3 linked regions of the Drosophila melanogaster genome follow. The protein of the gene in region 1 interacts with the protein of each later gene in a pairwise test. Each region holds a gene or a part of one and is shown on either strand. Other genes may lie near its edges.

The links. Proteins that work in one complex are often made in the same cells at the same time.
Region 2: the proteins of CG32264 (region 1) and Pits interact in a two-hybrid assay, tested with the Drosophila melanogaster proteins (one large-scale study listed by BioGRID).
Region 3: the proteins of CG32264 (region 1) and eEF1alpha1 interact in a two-hybrid assay, tested with the Drosophila melanogaster proteins (one large-scale study listed by BioGRID).

The regions. Positions count from the first base shown.
Region 1 is NT_037436.4:3,784,935-3,789,970, forward strand, and holds the start of CG32264 (uncharacterized protein), read right to left. Parts: upstream 3,027-5,036; 5' UTR 2,623-3,026; intron 1-2,622.
Region 2 is NC_004354.4:12,580,177-12,585,110, forward strand, and holds the start of Pits (protein interacting with Ttk69 and Sin3A), read right to left. Parts: upstream 3,018-4,934; 5' UTR 2,375-3,017; coding exon 1,396-2,374; intron 1-1,395.
Region 3 is NT_033778.4:11,889,257-11,896,037, forward strand, and holds eEF1alpha1 (eukaryotic translation elongation factor 1 alpha 1), read left to right. Parts: upstream 1-1,878; 5' UTR 1,879-1,988; intron 1,989-2,139; exon of another isoform or gene 2,140-2,209; intron 2,210-2,865; exon of another isoform or gene 2,866-2,928; intron 2,929-3,866; exon of another isoform or gene 3,867-3,939; intron 3,940-4,285; exon of another isoform or gene 4,286-4,298; 5' UTR 4,299-4,318; coding exon 4,319-5,710; 3' UTR 5,711-6,264; downstream 6,265-6,781. Other genes in the region: ERp60 (endoplasmic reticulum p60), read right to left, coding at 1-133, 1,415-1,563. UniProt on the Drosophila melanogaster protein: This protein promotes the GTP-dependent binding of aminoacyl-tRNA to the A-site of ribosomes during protein biosynthesis.

The DNA.
Region 1 (5,036 bases):
AAAAATATACCAATAACAACTTCCAGCACACGCGACTTTAAACAACAAATTTGTCGAACGCCGCAAGAAAATTTCAATGAACGAAGGAAAGGGGGGCAGAGATGGAGGAAGTACGGAGGCAGCAACAAACAGAAAAGGCAACAAAAACCGAAACAGCAGCAATGGCAAAACCAACAACAATCAGCTCTTTTGACCAGCAGCTGTCGCACAGTGGGATGCACAGTGGGCAATTAGGGGTGGATTAGCTATCAGGTGCAGAAATGGTTTGTTTAAGCTACAGAAAAATTCCTTTTTAAATGCCAATCTGCTAATATTAAATTGGGAAAATATTGCGATTGTGCACAGTAATACCTCCAATTGTCATACAACCCATTCCACTGTGCCCATGCAGCACAGTCCACAAGCACAAGTGTTCGGGGTTGCTGCTAATGGAACGCAATTCACAATTCACTGGGAATTCGCTATCTCTGTCTGCAGCACCCCTCTTTGTCGCTCCCCAGTAGCTCCGTCTCTTTCCGACGTTGCAACGACAATGGCAGCAACAAAAGCAAAACAGCGGCAGACAGCAAAAACCAATGGACAAAAACACAAACAAAACGGTGGACAAGAGTCGTCATCCTCCGCTGTTTTTGTTGTTTCGGCAAAACTTCTTTATCCCGGAGAAGGGAAAGAGATGGGCATATGAAGGGAGAAAGAGAGGGTGACAGAACGTTCGCATAAATTTAAAATTGCGCGCAAACGGCGCCCACAAAGCCAAACACCACAGTATGCAATTATCTAAGGAATTTTTAGTAAACTACATGGTAAACTGACGGGGATTCCAAAAATTTTTTATTTTAGTTGCTCAGCATGGTCACACTGTGCATTTCGGTTGAGTCAGCTGACTATAACAGCTGATGCTCTACAGTAAACAAAGAATTTGGAATCTCGAAAAATGTCCTGTTGTTTATAATTACACAATATTTCAATTTGTGTTTAATAGCTGGGTAATCCCAGAATAAACTAAGTGTAGTTTTTGTCTTGACTTCTTTTCTTATGACAGCCTTAGTTTCAATTAGGCAAGCACCACTGTCCGAAAACAACAAGGAAAGGCAATAAAAGGGAGCAGAGAATGCGTTTTGGGGGTTGCTGGATGCTGCAAAGGGGGGTGCTTCACAAAAGGGCCTGCCACTGCTGTGGGTGTGGGGGGGGGTCGAAAGTCGTCGCAAAGTGGAGTAAACTGAAGTCTGGAGCACAACAAAAAGCAGTAAAGGCGGCGGCAGAGGAAAATCCTAGGAGAGGGTGCGAAATCTCGCAGTATACACACCACTACCAGACTTTTCCTATACACATCTATGTACATACATATACAAATGGGTGGCACAACAAAAAAACGGAAGAAAAGCGAAGGAATCTGTCTAGACAACATTGTAAGTAGATAAAAATATTTGGTCGGAAAAATCGGGCGAGGAAATAATGAAATATGTAATTTCCTACACCGTACACCCATCTCTTTCTTTCCCCGCCTATCACTACTACCACTATCTCTTTCCGGCAGGTAATACCTTTTTTGATAAGGAAGCAATTGTAGCACATTTCTCTGCTATTTTTTTCAATTGCACCATCATTAAAATTGTGTTACGGATAAGATAACACAAGTTGGCGCTATATTTTCTTCACATATTTCCCACTTTTCGTGTGAAAATTCCATTTAGCGAGGCAGCGTGCCCCGTACACGCTGAATGAATTAATTTATTCATATTCAACATATTTATGCATTTGTGTAAACAAAAAGCAGGTGCCCGAAATTACTGTAAAGCGGTTATTGTTTACGCAAATGTTTGAATTAAGGAAAGAGAGAGTGAGACAGGTAACTGCTTATTTTTTTGACTGGTTTATTGTTATTTTCTGTTTATACTATTTTTATGACCGCTCTTTCCGCTTTTTTCAAATTCTTTTGTTATTGATTTCACTTTTCTGGATGGTTTTTTAAATACTTGAGATACAGTGGAGCTTTAAAATGGATAACTATTTATTTAAACTTTCTAGCACTTCAAATGATATGAGCATATGAGTTAATTATCTAAAGTAATTTTTAAAAGTTGTTTTCTAAATTAAATAATATAATGATATGATCAGATAATAGCTTCCTTCTTTACTGAGCGTTCACTGTGATCGAATTCACATGAAAGTATTTTTTTTCTTTGCACCTTGCGTATTTTGTTTTGCATCACCTGTCGCAGCTGATTTTTCATTCACACTATTTGTTTATCTACGATTATTATTTTTTTAGCTGCTCGTTAGCTGGTGAAATTCCCATAGAAAATTCATTAAAACCCAGCAAAGGAATTTTAGTTTTAGTTTCTCAGAGAGAATTCGATTGTTCGCTGGTGTGAGTGTGAGTGTTTTGTATGTGTGTGTTTAGTGTGTGAAGAGAGAAGTTGTAAAACCGGATTTTCCTTTTGGGCGCTTTCGTAGTTTTGTTGCCTTTTGCACTTTGCCTCGATCTTCGATTTTTAATAGCCACTTAAATTCGATATTGGGCTGTTAAAAAGTTACAACAATTTTCCTTTCTGCATTTTCTCTGCTTTTATTTTCTTTTCTCTGCTCTTGCATTTTGCACATCACTTGCTTTGCACTTACACTTGTTGATTATTTAATGTGCAATATTTTTATTGCGTTTACTTGCACTTTTTCGTATTCTTTACTCTTCTCAGCTGCTTTTCACTAATAATTTATTTAAATCAAACTGAAGCACGCACACAGCTGCACGTAGTTACGCACACACACGCACGCATACACTAAAAACGCCAAACGACGCGCCGGAAAAAACAACAAAAAGAACAACAACGAAGAGAGCGGCGAAACAACAAAAATCAAACGTTTCAAAATTCTCTTTCGCTTTGCACCGCGAAATTAAATCAAATCGAAACTTAAAAGATTGCCAATGCGATTTTGACCTAATGTTTATTGTGTTTTTTTTCTATTTCGAAGCGAGCGCGACGCTGTTTTTCCGACTTTACGATCCCCAATTGGCGTTCGATGTGCGTTCGTCTGCTCTCAAAAAAATTGTGACAAAAAATTGTTTATATGCCGCAGTGTGGCCAGCTGCTTAGCGGCCGATAAGGCCGAATTTGCACCGTTTCGCGGCATTTGTCGGCAGCGCGGTCACACTCGAGAAGAGAGCGGCTGGAAATTCAAAATTTAATTTGGCGCCAAACTCGATTTTATATCTATTAATAAATTTCTTGATAACATATCGTATTTACACGTGGCTATATAAACAGCATCGAAATATTATTACAAAGATAATATAGTTGTATCTTTGTTTTTAATCGAAATGGTCAATCTTTTTCAATATGATAAATATTTGGTTAATCATTAAGTCATATAAATCAAATTAATAAACGACGTTGAATCAAGTGACGAGTGAACTTCGTCTGCCTTTCATTTCACATTCACAGCAGTTGATTATAGGAACTCAAATTGAATTAGATTTGCCCATTGATTTGCATTTCGCACCCACAAATTCCGCCACCCGATGATAATTGCCAATTTGGGTGGAAAGCCGCCTCCTCTGGCGAGCTGGAAAATGTCGAAAAACTATTGAAAATCAATTTGCATTCCGCACCAGAAACATCCAAATAATGCGATACTAATTCCCCTCTCGAAAACTTTAATACCTCAAAATCCAATGAGGCAATCGGCAAATGAAAATCTTTTCGAGGGAAGCGAAAGAAAAACAAGAAGCAACCGCACTTCAAAAGCAATTTCACCTTGTTTTTCCAAAAACAAATACACACTGAACCAAAATTCAATTCACTAAACAATGGCGCAAGGCAAATCTCTTTTCGGCCATATATAACTTTTCGGTAAGGAATTTCCCAAACTGCTCTTCAAGAATTTTCACGAGTGGTGGCGTCTCCTATTTTTAGGCCCACTACAAAAACACCCTACAGTGAGCGCTCGGAAAAGTGAACTTTTAGTATAATCTTATATATAATAATATATAGAAGAACTAAATGGTAGATTTTCCCAAATTTTACTTTGAATTTGATAAGGAGTTTGAATTATTTTCTAGTTAGTTATATTAAGTCAAGTAAGTATTTACCTCATATATAGTTACAAATATTTATATACATAGTAAATATGTATATTTATATATGGCAAGTACTATTTTTATAAAACAGGAAACGGAAGTATCTTTCGCTCTAGTTGAAAATATTTAATGAGAGCTAAATATATAAATACGAAAAGGGGGGCATGGCAGGGGGAAAACTCAGCGCTGGAATTTTGTTGTTGCTCCAGAAATGCCGGCAAATGAAAAGCGCAGGTCCGCAAATGAAAAACAGAATGGAAAATTCAAAGAGAGAAAATTTTCAGGGAGAGAGCACAACAATAGCAGTTTGAGAGGCGCCGCAAGTTTGCGAAGCACTGCTTCAAGCAGTGCAATATTTACTGTTTATCGCATGCGAGAAATTTCTCGCCGATGTTTTGTGTGACTCCAAAACTATACGAAGAAAATTAATTTTGTAAATGATCGTTCAAATATATTTACGAACTTAATATTTAAAGAGACAATTTATAAGATTCAAATATTATGTTTAAATGTTTTCATTATTTATGGATAAATAAATTGGAAATCATATTTGCACATTATATTTTTATAAACAAATGGAGTTTGTGCTTAACTCATTTATGGTATCCAACATCTTTGGTAATACTATTTTAAAATAGTATTGTGCTTTTGAGTTCTCCCAACAGTTCAGCGTTTTATTCAATCGTCAAGGAAAGTTTTCCACCCACCGGAATAAAATTCCACTTCATTCCGAGCGAACAATTCGTCTTCAATGTCAGTTTTTCCTCGATTTCCCCGCCCATTTTCCCCGAACTTCTTATCCTTCAGCAAAATTAACTTGAGAATCTTGATAAAAGGGCTGCCATTCATTCATTCAGCAGCTTTGCCGAAAACTGTTCTCAATGCCAGAAGCTGCCAACTTAATTTATATTGTATTTAAAATGCAAAATGCACAGCATTCAACAATGGGCGAGAGCAA
Region 2 (4,934 bases), on another chromosome or scaffold:
GGAGAAAGAGATAGAGAGCGAGAACATTACAACGTCAGCGTCGACGATTTTTGCACGTCTCTGTTTATATTACATTCTGCGGCCCTTTTTTCGTGTGCTTTTTGCGCTTTTTTTTCTCGCCGTTTTTTGTTATTGCCATTGCGACTGTTACGTACGTGCATGTAAACGAACACGTAGTTGTGTGCGCGTGTGTGTCTGCGCGGTACATGCACATGTATATTCCCTATATGTATATTGGCATGTGCGCATGCCTTTTAATGGCAAGGGTTAGCAGCCCCTTTTTTCCACAGAGGGTTGCAAAATGCGTTTATACGCTTCTTTTTCTGTTTGAATGTACATGCATGCATGTGCACGTATGCGTGTATGTGTGAGTTATACATACGCATTGGGTGGCGATAAGGACGCGCTGATAAGCAAATGAGTTATCTAATCTCCAACACAACGCTCCTTATCATCCATGCAAACGTAAATGTGTACGTGCATATACATGAGAAGCGCAGTCTTCTTCTAGCTCGCCTTCCAGTAAGGAGAGATAAGGAGCAGGCAATCACGCCGTTTCACTCTGCCCTGAATAAGCGGTATGTGTGCCACTATATCGCCGCCTCTCTTCCTCCCACTCCCCCACCACGACCTTCCACCCACATCCAGGCTAGAGCGAGGCAGAAACAGTGCTCTGTATCCCGCGATCACGGCTCATATTAAAAAAAAAAAGGCGGGGGATTGGTAAGAAACGGTAAACAAATACAGTGGCCGCCAACTTTTTCAAACTTAGGATTTAAGCAAATTTCCTATGTTTCCGGAGGATAAAATAGTGTTTAATTTTATCCAGCAAATCTTAGATTGAAATTAGCAAAAAAAAATTTCCTCTAACTCACTTGTTTGTTTAAACAAGTTTTTATTTTTGTTTGACATTGGCTATCAAAGCAAACTGAAATATCACCCCTCGAAGAGTTTTGTATTTGAAATATTTTGATAAAATATACTTTAGAAGATATCAAGTGTTCACTGTGGCTGGGAAACAACATCCCCCTGGTCACTCCATTTTTTAATCCATATCGCGTATTTCCCACTGGCGATTCGATCCGATCGCTATAAGTGATAAGAAATCCATCACTGATAGGGGATTATCCCAAATCTGTTTTCCACCACGATAGATAGTGTTTTGTACTATCATTTATAAAGCCAAATATTTATCAACGCGGCACTTTTGAGACTCTGATCACTTTACTCTAATTATTATGAAAGGTAGTTTTCAAGGTAGTTGAAACTACTCCTGCTTTTCCCGAATCCCTACTGCAAATGAAAAATTTTCCCATTACTTGCTGCAGCAAAGTTCTTTCTATTGGGTAACCACTGTGCCAAGTATTTTGAATGATCTATGTCATGTTTGCTCACCTGCTTTGAAGGTCGATGCATCGAAACTGGGCGCTCTGACCGGCTGCTGCTTATCACGGAGTCCGCTAAGCTGACGCTCGGGCACATAGCTGACCGCCGCTGGCAGGGATTCGCCACGCGTCAATGGCGGTCTGCCGCCCACGCCACTTGGATCGTCCATGGCGCTGCGCTTGATGCCGGGCGGACAACCGCCGGATACGCCTCCGCCGGCGGATAGGGAGTTGCCAGCACTGCCATCTGGCGCCAGGCCGTGTCCCGACTGCTGTTGCTGCTGGCTTACATCCACATCGACATCCTCGCTGGGCGGACGCTTTAAATTCACGGATAGGGCGGGCGGTAGGCTGCCACCGCCACTGCCGGCGGTGGGTACGCCGCCGCCGGGTGCACCGCCACCGCCGCGGGTCGCATTTGGCGGCAGGTGGTGGGGCGTCATGTGTGAAATGCGTACGGGTCGTACGCCGCCACCGGGGGCATCCTCCAGCTTAACGGGATAGTCCAGTGGCGGACCGATGCGTGGCACTGGCATTTGATAGGGCATCTGATGGTGATGATGCACTGCAGCAGCGGCGGCGGCAGCAGCAACGGCATTGCCCAGCGAACTGAGCGAACCGGCGCCCGACGGACCTGGACCACCACTTCCGGGCGGAGCACCCGGTGGACCGCCGCCACCTCCGCCGCGATGGGAACCCGGTCCTTGTCCCGGAACTGGACCGACTTGTAACTGTTGTTGCTGCTGTAGGACGACGGCGGCCGCTGCAGCGGCGGACACTTCGCCGTTCTCATGGGAACGCTGCTGTTTGCTGGCGGGATGGAGACGCTTCATTTGGCGGGCGGCGTCCAGCACCGCCTCGATGCGATCGGCGCCCTCATAGTTGACGCAACCGCGGCACACCGCCTCCGAGAAGTCATTGATCATCGCCCAGGGCATGCGGGGTAAATCGCACAGATAGCAGTGCTGCCTTTTCGTTTGCAGCGACATCCTGCTGCGTTTCTGGAAACTGTCAACTGGCAACTAGCAACTGTCAACTGTCAATTGGCAACTGTCAATTGGAAGCCCTGGATGGGCTGGATCTGGAAATGGGTTTGTGCTGTTTTAGCTCACTGGAATGGCTAACTGTTCCTTCCTGCTGGATTCCCAATTCCTATTATTTATTATTTTCTCCTTTTTTTTCGCTTTCTTTTTTCTTGTTTCAGCTTCTTTTCGGTTGTGCGTTGTAGCTATTTTTCTTATTTAGCATTTGTTATTCATGTTTTCGTATTGATTTTCGCACACACGCACATATACACGCGCGCACGCACGCATATTTCACCGCGCTTCCACCCGAAAAAAATTCACTTATGTTTTTTCCTTCAGCTTCAGCTTCTTCTTCTTCTTCTTTTCTATTGTGCTGCGCCGCGCTGCTCGCCAACACGCACGCACACAGGCACACACACCACACACCACACTTAGGCACGCGCGCCGCAGAGTGAAAGAGAGAGGGTGCGCGCGAGTAAGCGGGACACGTAAATGTACGACGACGCCAAAAACGTGTAGGAACAAAACGAACGATGAGATCGCAGCGACGCAACGAATGACTGAAAAAGCGACCGGACGCCACACAGCTTGCTGATAGAGTGTGGCCTTGGCTGGTATGTGAGAATATACCCCAGGGGCCAAGCGAAATGTACTAAAAAATCTTCGCTGCCGCAATGGGAAATACCAAGAAAATACCTGAAATACTGGCTTATATCAGAGACACGAACCTTTCAGTGGACTTCAACCAGGGTTGCCAAAGTGGCTGAGACTGTAGCGAAGACTTCAACCATGATAAAGCTAAGGAAATTTTAAATTTTCTTTAAAATTTAGCATCATTTTGAGCATAGTAATTCTACTATTTCGTATTAATATATATAGCTTTTAATATATTGCTCCTAATATTACGCCCAAATATTAAAAATAAACCCTTTTGGCTGTTTAAGTAATTAAAAATAATATTTATTTTTATTTTTAACCCCCTTTGGGGCTACGACCCTGCCAGCGTACGTGCCTGCACGTCATATTCACGAAACGGAATCTAGTGACGAAGTCCTTCCCCCAAAGTCCGCCTGTAAGTATACCATGTAAAGTTCGTGGATACACATCCGTTTTTCGTATAGATACCGAACGTATGTACATAGGATACAGTTATGTAGACCTTGAATCTGGTATGCTCCGTCTCTTTCGCTCGGCGAACAGCTGACTTAACAGAGCTCTGTAACTGTTAATGAAATTAAAAGCCCTCATTCCTAGCAAAAAAAAAAAAAAAAACAAGGACATCCGTAAAGCACTGCGCAGGACCACAAACTGCAAGCATGTATGTGTATGCATATCGTTGCATATATGTACATATGTATAGGCGAAAATGCTTGGGTGTTCGTATTCCTGGCGTTTGGCCTGAATCGATTTCCCGACCATGGTCTGGGACAAATTCCGTATCTGTGCGTACATCCTGTTAAAAGGAAATGCGGAAAAAGGAGCCACCAGATACAGAAACACACGAACAAGCAACGACCTCGTAAACGGGGTCCTTTCCTTACACCCCCACCTTTCCATACAGTCCCGGCCATAAGTTTATGTCCGTGCACGCGCAACTGTACTCGCTTCTTAACATTTCATTTGAGATTTTATTTATGAAATGTTTGGCTCAATTAAAGATATAAAAATATTCTTTAAATTGCCACAAAATTAAAATTCCACAATAAAGACACTAGAAAGTTTAAAAGTTTTTTTTTAATTTCCTCTTTTATTAACAAAAAATGTTTTAAGATTAAAATCAAAAGAGAATCTACGAACTACGTTTATACACAAGCTTTATTTGTAATTACAGACCTTTCGACTCCCGAATAAGTAGGCAACAAAAACTGCATTAGTTATAAACTTATTTACAAGTGGGTAGAAAATGTTGCTATACTGATTATATATGTTCAACTGTTAAAAGGCATAAAGAATTGAATCGAAAATTCTATAAGCGTTACTCAATTTTCGAAAAGCAGGCGTATAAACGTAGTTACAAGGTGGTGTGGGGTCAAAATACAACACATTAAATTAGCTGCATATAAAAAATATCGCACATATTTGTTGTATATAGATAGTTAAATGCTAGATCGGTTCGGCGCGGCCACTGTTCTACTGGCATACGTCCGTATAACAAGGGCCCGACTCAAATGTCTTATGTAAGCAGTTAATTGCAAGCGTTTCGATCCTATATGTATATAGGTTTAGGTATATAATGGCTATATAAAGTACACAGTATAACAGTATTAGGCTTGAGCGTGTGCGTTTCATTTGTATAACAGTTAGCGTGTGTGTGTGTTTGTATGTCTGTTCGTATCAATTACAACTAAAATTGCCTTTGAGCAAAAACATTCTTATATATTTAGTTATAGGAGTTAGACTTATTCTCGTCAATACAAAAAAGTTTGTTTCTTAGCATTGTTAATTATTGTTCTTGGAATGAGGGGACGGGGTGAATGGGTCGAGAATCGATAAATAATAAATTAGATTTAAGCACTAACATGGA
Region 3 (6,781 bases), on another chromosome or scaffold:
GGAGTACTTGCTACACGTTTCCTTTCCAGCTTCCGTACAGTCAACCTTGGCCAGTTTGATTGGCGGATCATCGTCTTTCACGATCTCCGCCGCCTTGGCGTACTCGGGCTTCAATCGCTTGCAGTGGCCGCACCTTAAACAGGAAAAAACACTCTGTTAGGACACGTCACTTAAACATTATGTTGGTAACAATACTATCTAATTCATCATTTGTTATCAAGGCAACGGGAAGACAAGTTCCCAAAAAACTAGCTTGTAATTAAAGTAAGGGTGCTGGAATTATCAACTGTCTTATCACACAAGTACAAGTGCCCATTAGGCATACAGAGAGAAAAACGACTTGGTACTTATTTGAAACAGCAGAGTATAGTCTGCACTCTTAGCAGTGCAGATAATAATTCATTTTTGATAAAGATAAGTGATGCCTTAAGTTAACTATGTTATAATGAAAAGAGCAGTTTTATTGCAGTGTACAACTTTTTCAACTTCATCCCTGTGTATTTATGCTTGAATACTGATAAGGTTCGTCATGAGGGAATCAAGTCTCCATGCCAAGTAGTTCAACAGCTCTTTGGGGATTTCGAAAGCCGGCCGGCAAAAAAAACGCTAATAATTTACCTAGTTCATTGTCCAAGTGTGAGCTTATAGTTTACCCCTGATAATGGGCAAACAAATGGCTCAAAAGAGAGTAAATAGGCACAGTAAATATGTGTTATGTACTAAACAAAAATGTATTAAAAGGTTATTGTGTTCAGTGTGGATTACGATGGAAGTTAAAAATGTGTCTACTGACATGAGAAATTTATAGCACAATCAGCATAACTTTTGTGAGTAGGCAGGCAATTAAAATTGAAGTTTTAATATGGTTGGTGTAAACTGTTGGGAAATTACATTTGTATGAGAACTGTGAGTGTTTCAGACTATGATAACCAGTTTCAAGCTAAATCTAAGTTAACCCTTAGAATTACACATTCCTGGGATTATGGGTATAATGCATAGGCATAAGAAACTATAATAAAAGATGCGCTATGTACACTGGGGCCCCTATGCCTGCTCACTATCATTAGCCAGTGGACAAGTGGAGCAGGAATTGCACGGAAATTGTACCAACTAGGCACTTTGGCACCCCGCGCTCTAAAATGGCCGACGGCACCAATACTGGCATATCATCATTGCCCCTCTCTTTGCGTCTCGTTTCGTTCCGTCACTCGTTCCTTCTTTATTTGCCGGCAAAAGCAAGGCAAACGCTGACGTGTACTTTGCGCTTGCGATGGCCGGAAAATCGGGCATCGGTCGGCACTGGGCATTGGGAATCGAATTAAGTTGCGGACGCAACAAGCGGATTATACGCGAATCGCACACGCAATGCATTTGTTGTAGGATGGCGCCCGGCCACGCCCACTCACTAACTCACCAGGGGGCGTAGAACATGACCAGCGTCGTCTCGTGTTGTTTTAGGGTGGTGGCAAAGTCGTCGTCCCCCAGTTCCAGGACATCCTGCTCCGCTCCGGACGAGATGGCGATGAAGCCTAGTAGGAGCACTCCAGCAAGGCGCCACATCATTATTTGGGTTCACTTGAAGCGATATCGGTGAATAATTCAAGTTCAACTAGGCCGTCGAACGCCTACTTCTACAACAAAAACTGAGTACCGGACCGGTTCGGTATTTTTCAACGATTGAATTCGCTTTTTGCCTCTTTCGCCACGTCGCTTCTTATTCTGTTTCGTCGTAGTGTGGCCAGGTGGGGCTAGGCCGAAAATGTCTAAAGTTGGAAAAAGCTCTCAGTTGTGAGCTTTCCTGCATATGTAAACAATAAATAAAGATGGCTCATCATTTATTAATGACTAATGTCTATATGTGTGGGTTTTAAATGCTTTAGCTATAATTCTTTCCAGTCACACAGAAAAGTTGAGATCTAGATTTAAATTAATTTAATTGATACCGATTTATAATAAAATTTTGTCAAATTATCATTTCATAAAAGATGGTAATTGCATTTATTGTTAACTGATTTCGCAAGCATAACAATAATCATATTATTAATAACTAATTAATTAATTTCACAAAATTAGGAAAACACTTAGGAACTTTTAATTGCGTCCTATATAAGGGGCAGGCTAACAACTTTTGTTCTATGCACAATGAATAAATTTATTGAGTACAAGTGAAAACTGAGTGAAAAAATAGTCTAACAAAAAATATTAAGCAGTAAGTTACAAATTCAAATAAATATTAGCATTCTGATGAATTCCAGAAGAAAAAGTATTAAAACGTGAGATCTTAAGTTATAAATTTTTACAATATTGTATAAATTGATACAATACCAAATTACTTATAGTTTTATTTGTAGCATATTTTAGTTGTAGCAACGGACGCCAAAAAATGTATAAATAAATGAAACGTATTACATAAATTTAAACGATCTCAAGCTTCTATTGTTATTTAAAGTTCTATTACGTTAGGGTTCACATACAAATTAAAGTTCAGGTTCTAGTCTAAAAGTTCAAAATGCGGACTACTAATGCAATTGTTATAGTTTTTAAATATTAAGAGATATGTGTTCCAATATTACGTATAGAAATTATAGACATCGTTTTGTAGAAAATATTTTTGGAATCACTGATTATTTAGTTTTTCATATAAAAACAATGTCGAGCAAACAAGGTTTTTTAAATCCCTCAATCGTTAGGTTATTGTATTTTGCCACTTTCAATCACTTAAATTTCAATAAAATGAAGTGCTTCATTCGCGCGTAGTGGAAACACCGCAGTGAGAACACGGTTTCTGCTCTTTTGACAGTTGCGTAGCTTCGGTCACACCATGTGTCAAACGAGGCTTCCTGTGCTGAGCTCTGCCGAACGCTCGTTCACTTTGTTCGAATCCGTCGCCGCTTAGACTTCGTGATTTCTCATTCAGCTTATTCGAGAGTAAGTTTTACCTGCGAGGCTATAATTAAGTAATTTCTGCAACGGGACTGCAGCCAGAAAACAATTTATAAACAAATATGCAGCTGAGACGCCGAATTTGTGCATATTTCCAGTGTTTTTCCTGTGTGTGTGTAATAAACCCGGAGATAACCTCTAACTGCGGTTTTCCAAAGTGAAAGGTGGCCATAGAAGCAAACACGTGGCAAGTCTGCAAAGGCAAAAATTTTAACTGGCGTTCCCAGTTAAAGTTCCCAGCATTCTCAAAATAATTTTCCGGCTTTTCCGGCCGCATTTTCGCCCTGCAATATGGTGCACTTAGTGTGTAATTACTTTGCCACGCCCACGCCGGACACAGAGGTCATCCACCAGATGTGCTCATTAACCGAGAAAAAAAAACGTGCTTTCTCTCTTGCCTTTGTCATGACCTATAGATATTCCTTATTCTTTCTTTTTGCGGCATGGAATTCTAAAATGGCGACCCAGTGGCGTGAGTCAAGTGGGCGAAAAAAATTCGCCTGGCAACAAGCGAAAAAATGTGCTTTTTTGGGTTTCCAGCCCATTAGCATATCTGGTGAAATGGCACTCGCATCAGCTATTTCGCCATTTCCAACCGACTCCATAATTGGTTTTGGTAAAATGGCTGCCGCTGCACTACGTTCTTGAATAATTCGTTGTGTGCCCCTCTCTTTTTCATTTCTTTCCAATTACCAATTGTGCCACCGCGGCGAGATCGCTTGCATTTGTACAAGTCACACACGCACACTAATGCACATCCGCCATTTTGGTCTCTCTCTCTCTCTATTCCTCTCTTACTTTTCCTCCGGCCGGCAACAGCGTCACACAAATACACAGGCATAGATATACACACGCATAGGCAGATAAGCACATGTGTATTTGCGAATTAAATTTGCTGGAATTTTCCTTTGGACTCTTCGATTTAACATGATGATGATTTTTCAGTTCTGCTACTGAAGACAGTTGACGAAAGCAAAAATACCAAAATCACTGAAACAAAATCGAGTTTCCATATGGAATTTTATTTGCACGCTCTTTTCTGTAGTTGCGCCCCACTCGTTTTACCCACACCCTTACATGCGGGCACTGGACCTAACCTCAAAAAACACGTTTTGTACGGCTGCAAGAGTTTGAGGTTAGGTTGTGCTCGCGCATGCAAACAAAAGTCGAACGTACGCTAGGGAAATGAGAAAGTGTTATACCCACTAATAATTGTAGTTGTAATCCCACCGAATGCTAACGAATTGTTTTACCCTTTGTTTATTCCAACCTCTCTTGCTCGCCAACCCGCCGAACCCTGCAACCTTCCAATGTTCCAACGTTCCGTCAATCCAACACTCGAATACACACAACAGCCATAGTGTAATCATCCAACATGGGCAAGGAAAAGATTCACATTAACATTGTCGTGATCGGACACGTCGATTCCGGTAAGTCGACCACCACCGGACACTTGATCTACAAGTGCGGTGGTATCGACAAGCGTACCATCGAGAAGTTCGAGAAGGAGGCCCAGGAGATGGGAAAGGGATCCTTCAAGTACGCCTGGGTTTTGGATAAGTTGAAGGCTGAGCGCGAGCGTGGTATCACCATCGATATCGCCCTGTGGAAGTTCGAAACTGCCAAGTACTACGTGACCATCATTGATGCCCCCGGACACAGGGATTTCATCAAGAACATGATCACTGGTACCTCGCAGGCCGATTGCGCCGTGCTGATTGTCGCCGCCGGAACCGGAGAATTCGAGGCAGGTATCTCGAAGAACGGCCAGACCCGCGAGCACGCCCTGCTCGCCTTCACCCTGGGTGTGAAGCAGCTGATCGTTGGTGTGAACAAGATGGACTCCTCCGAGCCACCATACAGCGAGGCCCGTTATGAGGAAATCAAGAAGGAAGTGTCCTCTTACATCAAGAAGATCGGCTACAACCCAGCCGCCGTTGCCTTCGTGCCCATTTCCGGATGGCACGGCGACAACATGTTGGAACCCTCTACCAACATGCCCTGGTTCAAGGGATGGAAGGTGGAGCGCAAGGAGGGTAACGCTGACGGCAAGACCCTGATCGATGCCCTCGATGCCATCCTTCCCCCAGCCCGTCCCACCGACAAGGCCCTGCGTCTGCCCCTGCAGGATGTGTACAAAATTGGCGGTATTGGAACAGTACCCGTGGGTCGTGTGGAGACTGGTGTGCTGAAGCCCGGTACCGTTGTGGTCTTCGCCCCTGCTAACATCACCACTGAGGTCAAGTCCGTGGAGATGCACCACGAGGCCCTGCAGGAGGCCGTTCCCGGAGACAACGTTGGCTTCAACGTCAAGAACGTGTCCGTGAAGGAGCTGCGTCGTGGCTACGTTGCCGGTGACTCCAAGGCTAACCCCCCCAAGGGAGCCGCCGACTTCACCGCCCAGGTCATCGTGCTGAACCACCCCGGTCAGATTGCCAACGGCTACACCCCCGTGTTGGATTGCCACACCGCTCACATTGCTTGCAAGTTCGCTGAGATCAAGGAGAAGGTCGACCGTCGTTCCGGCAAGACCACCGAGGAGAACCCCAAGTTCATCAAGTCTGGCGATGCTGCCATCGTCAACCTGGTGCCCTCTAAGCCCCTGTGCGTGGAGGCCTTCCAGGAGTTCCCCCCTCTGGGTCGCTTCGCTGTGCGTGACATGAGGCAGACCGTGGCTGTCGGTGTCATTAAGGCTGTCAACTTCAAGGATGCCTCCGGTGGCAAGGTCACCAAGGCCGCCGAGAAGGCCACCAAGGGCAAGAAGTAGCTGGTTTGCTTCCACTCAACAACAACAACAACACGCAGTAGTAGCAGCAACAACAAGCATATAACCAACATCATAATGCAGCCAACAACACCACTCAATAATACCAGCAACAGCAGCAGCGAACACAATAGTAGTATAACACCAACACCTGTCCTGCGCAAGATGACCGATAAGATGATGTTTCAGCAGAAGCATAAGTTTAATTTCTTCCATCGAAAGGAGTTTCGACGGATACGAATGCTAAATGCAGACGAGGCCGCCTAAATTGGGAAACGGTGGATCCCAAGGATAAGAGTGCACACTGGGAAAACACTTGCATTTATGCATCCACTCCTCATCCACTTCCCCGTCGATCTTTAGTTTACTAAATATGGTATGATGCACGGAGTTGACTTCGTTTTATCATATCATATATAGGAATCCTCTGTAGCATTTATGATATCGTTTAAATTAACCTTTATACTTTGATATGTATCATTTATCTTACCCTACTTTTGCACACACTACTTTGTACACAAGAAAAGAACCAGAATAGAAGCGATAACTATATTTACAAAAAAAATAAAAACCCTATTTTTGTATTTCTTTTGTTTTTACCACCCAGCCCGTAAAAGAGCACTCTCTTTGCTTGTTGCCTCCCGATTTTCAGCGCCATGATCGATCGTCCCTAACTCCAAGTTCACTTATCGTCGATGCCACAAAGTACAAACAAGAGCTAGTCGAAGAGTACAACAATTGAATCTGACAACAAATACCTCAATCGTTTAAATAAAGCAAGCAATTGCATCTGAAGAATAATGAATATTTTTTATTGTATTTGAGGGGGGGGGGGGGGCTTTTATTTCTCATCGCAAATAGAGAAAAATGCATTGATTTATTTATTTAAATAATAACGAACGAAGTTGGAACAAGTGTTTTTTTATAATTTCTGTTTAAAGTTATGGGATATATTATTTCCTTCGTAAAATCTGTATAAAAACAAATTAAAAAATGTACTAGAAAATAAACTAAGATCGTAAAATACATATATGGATTTAAATATAACTATATTTACATTGGAGTAATTTGCAC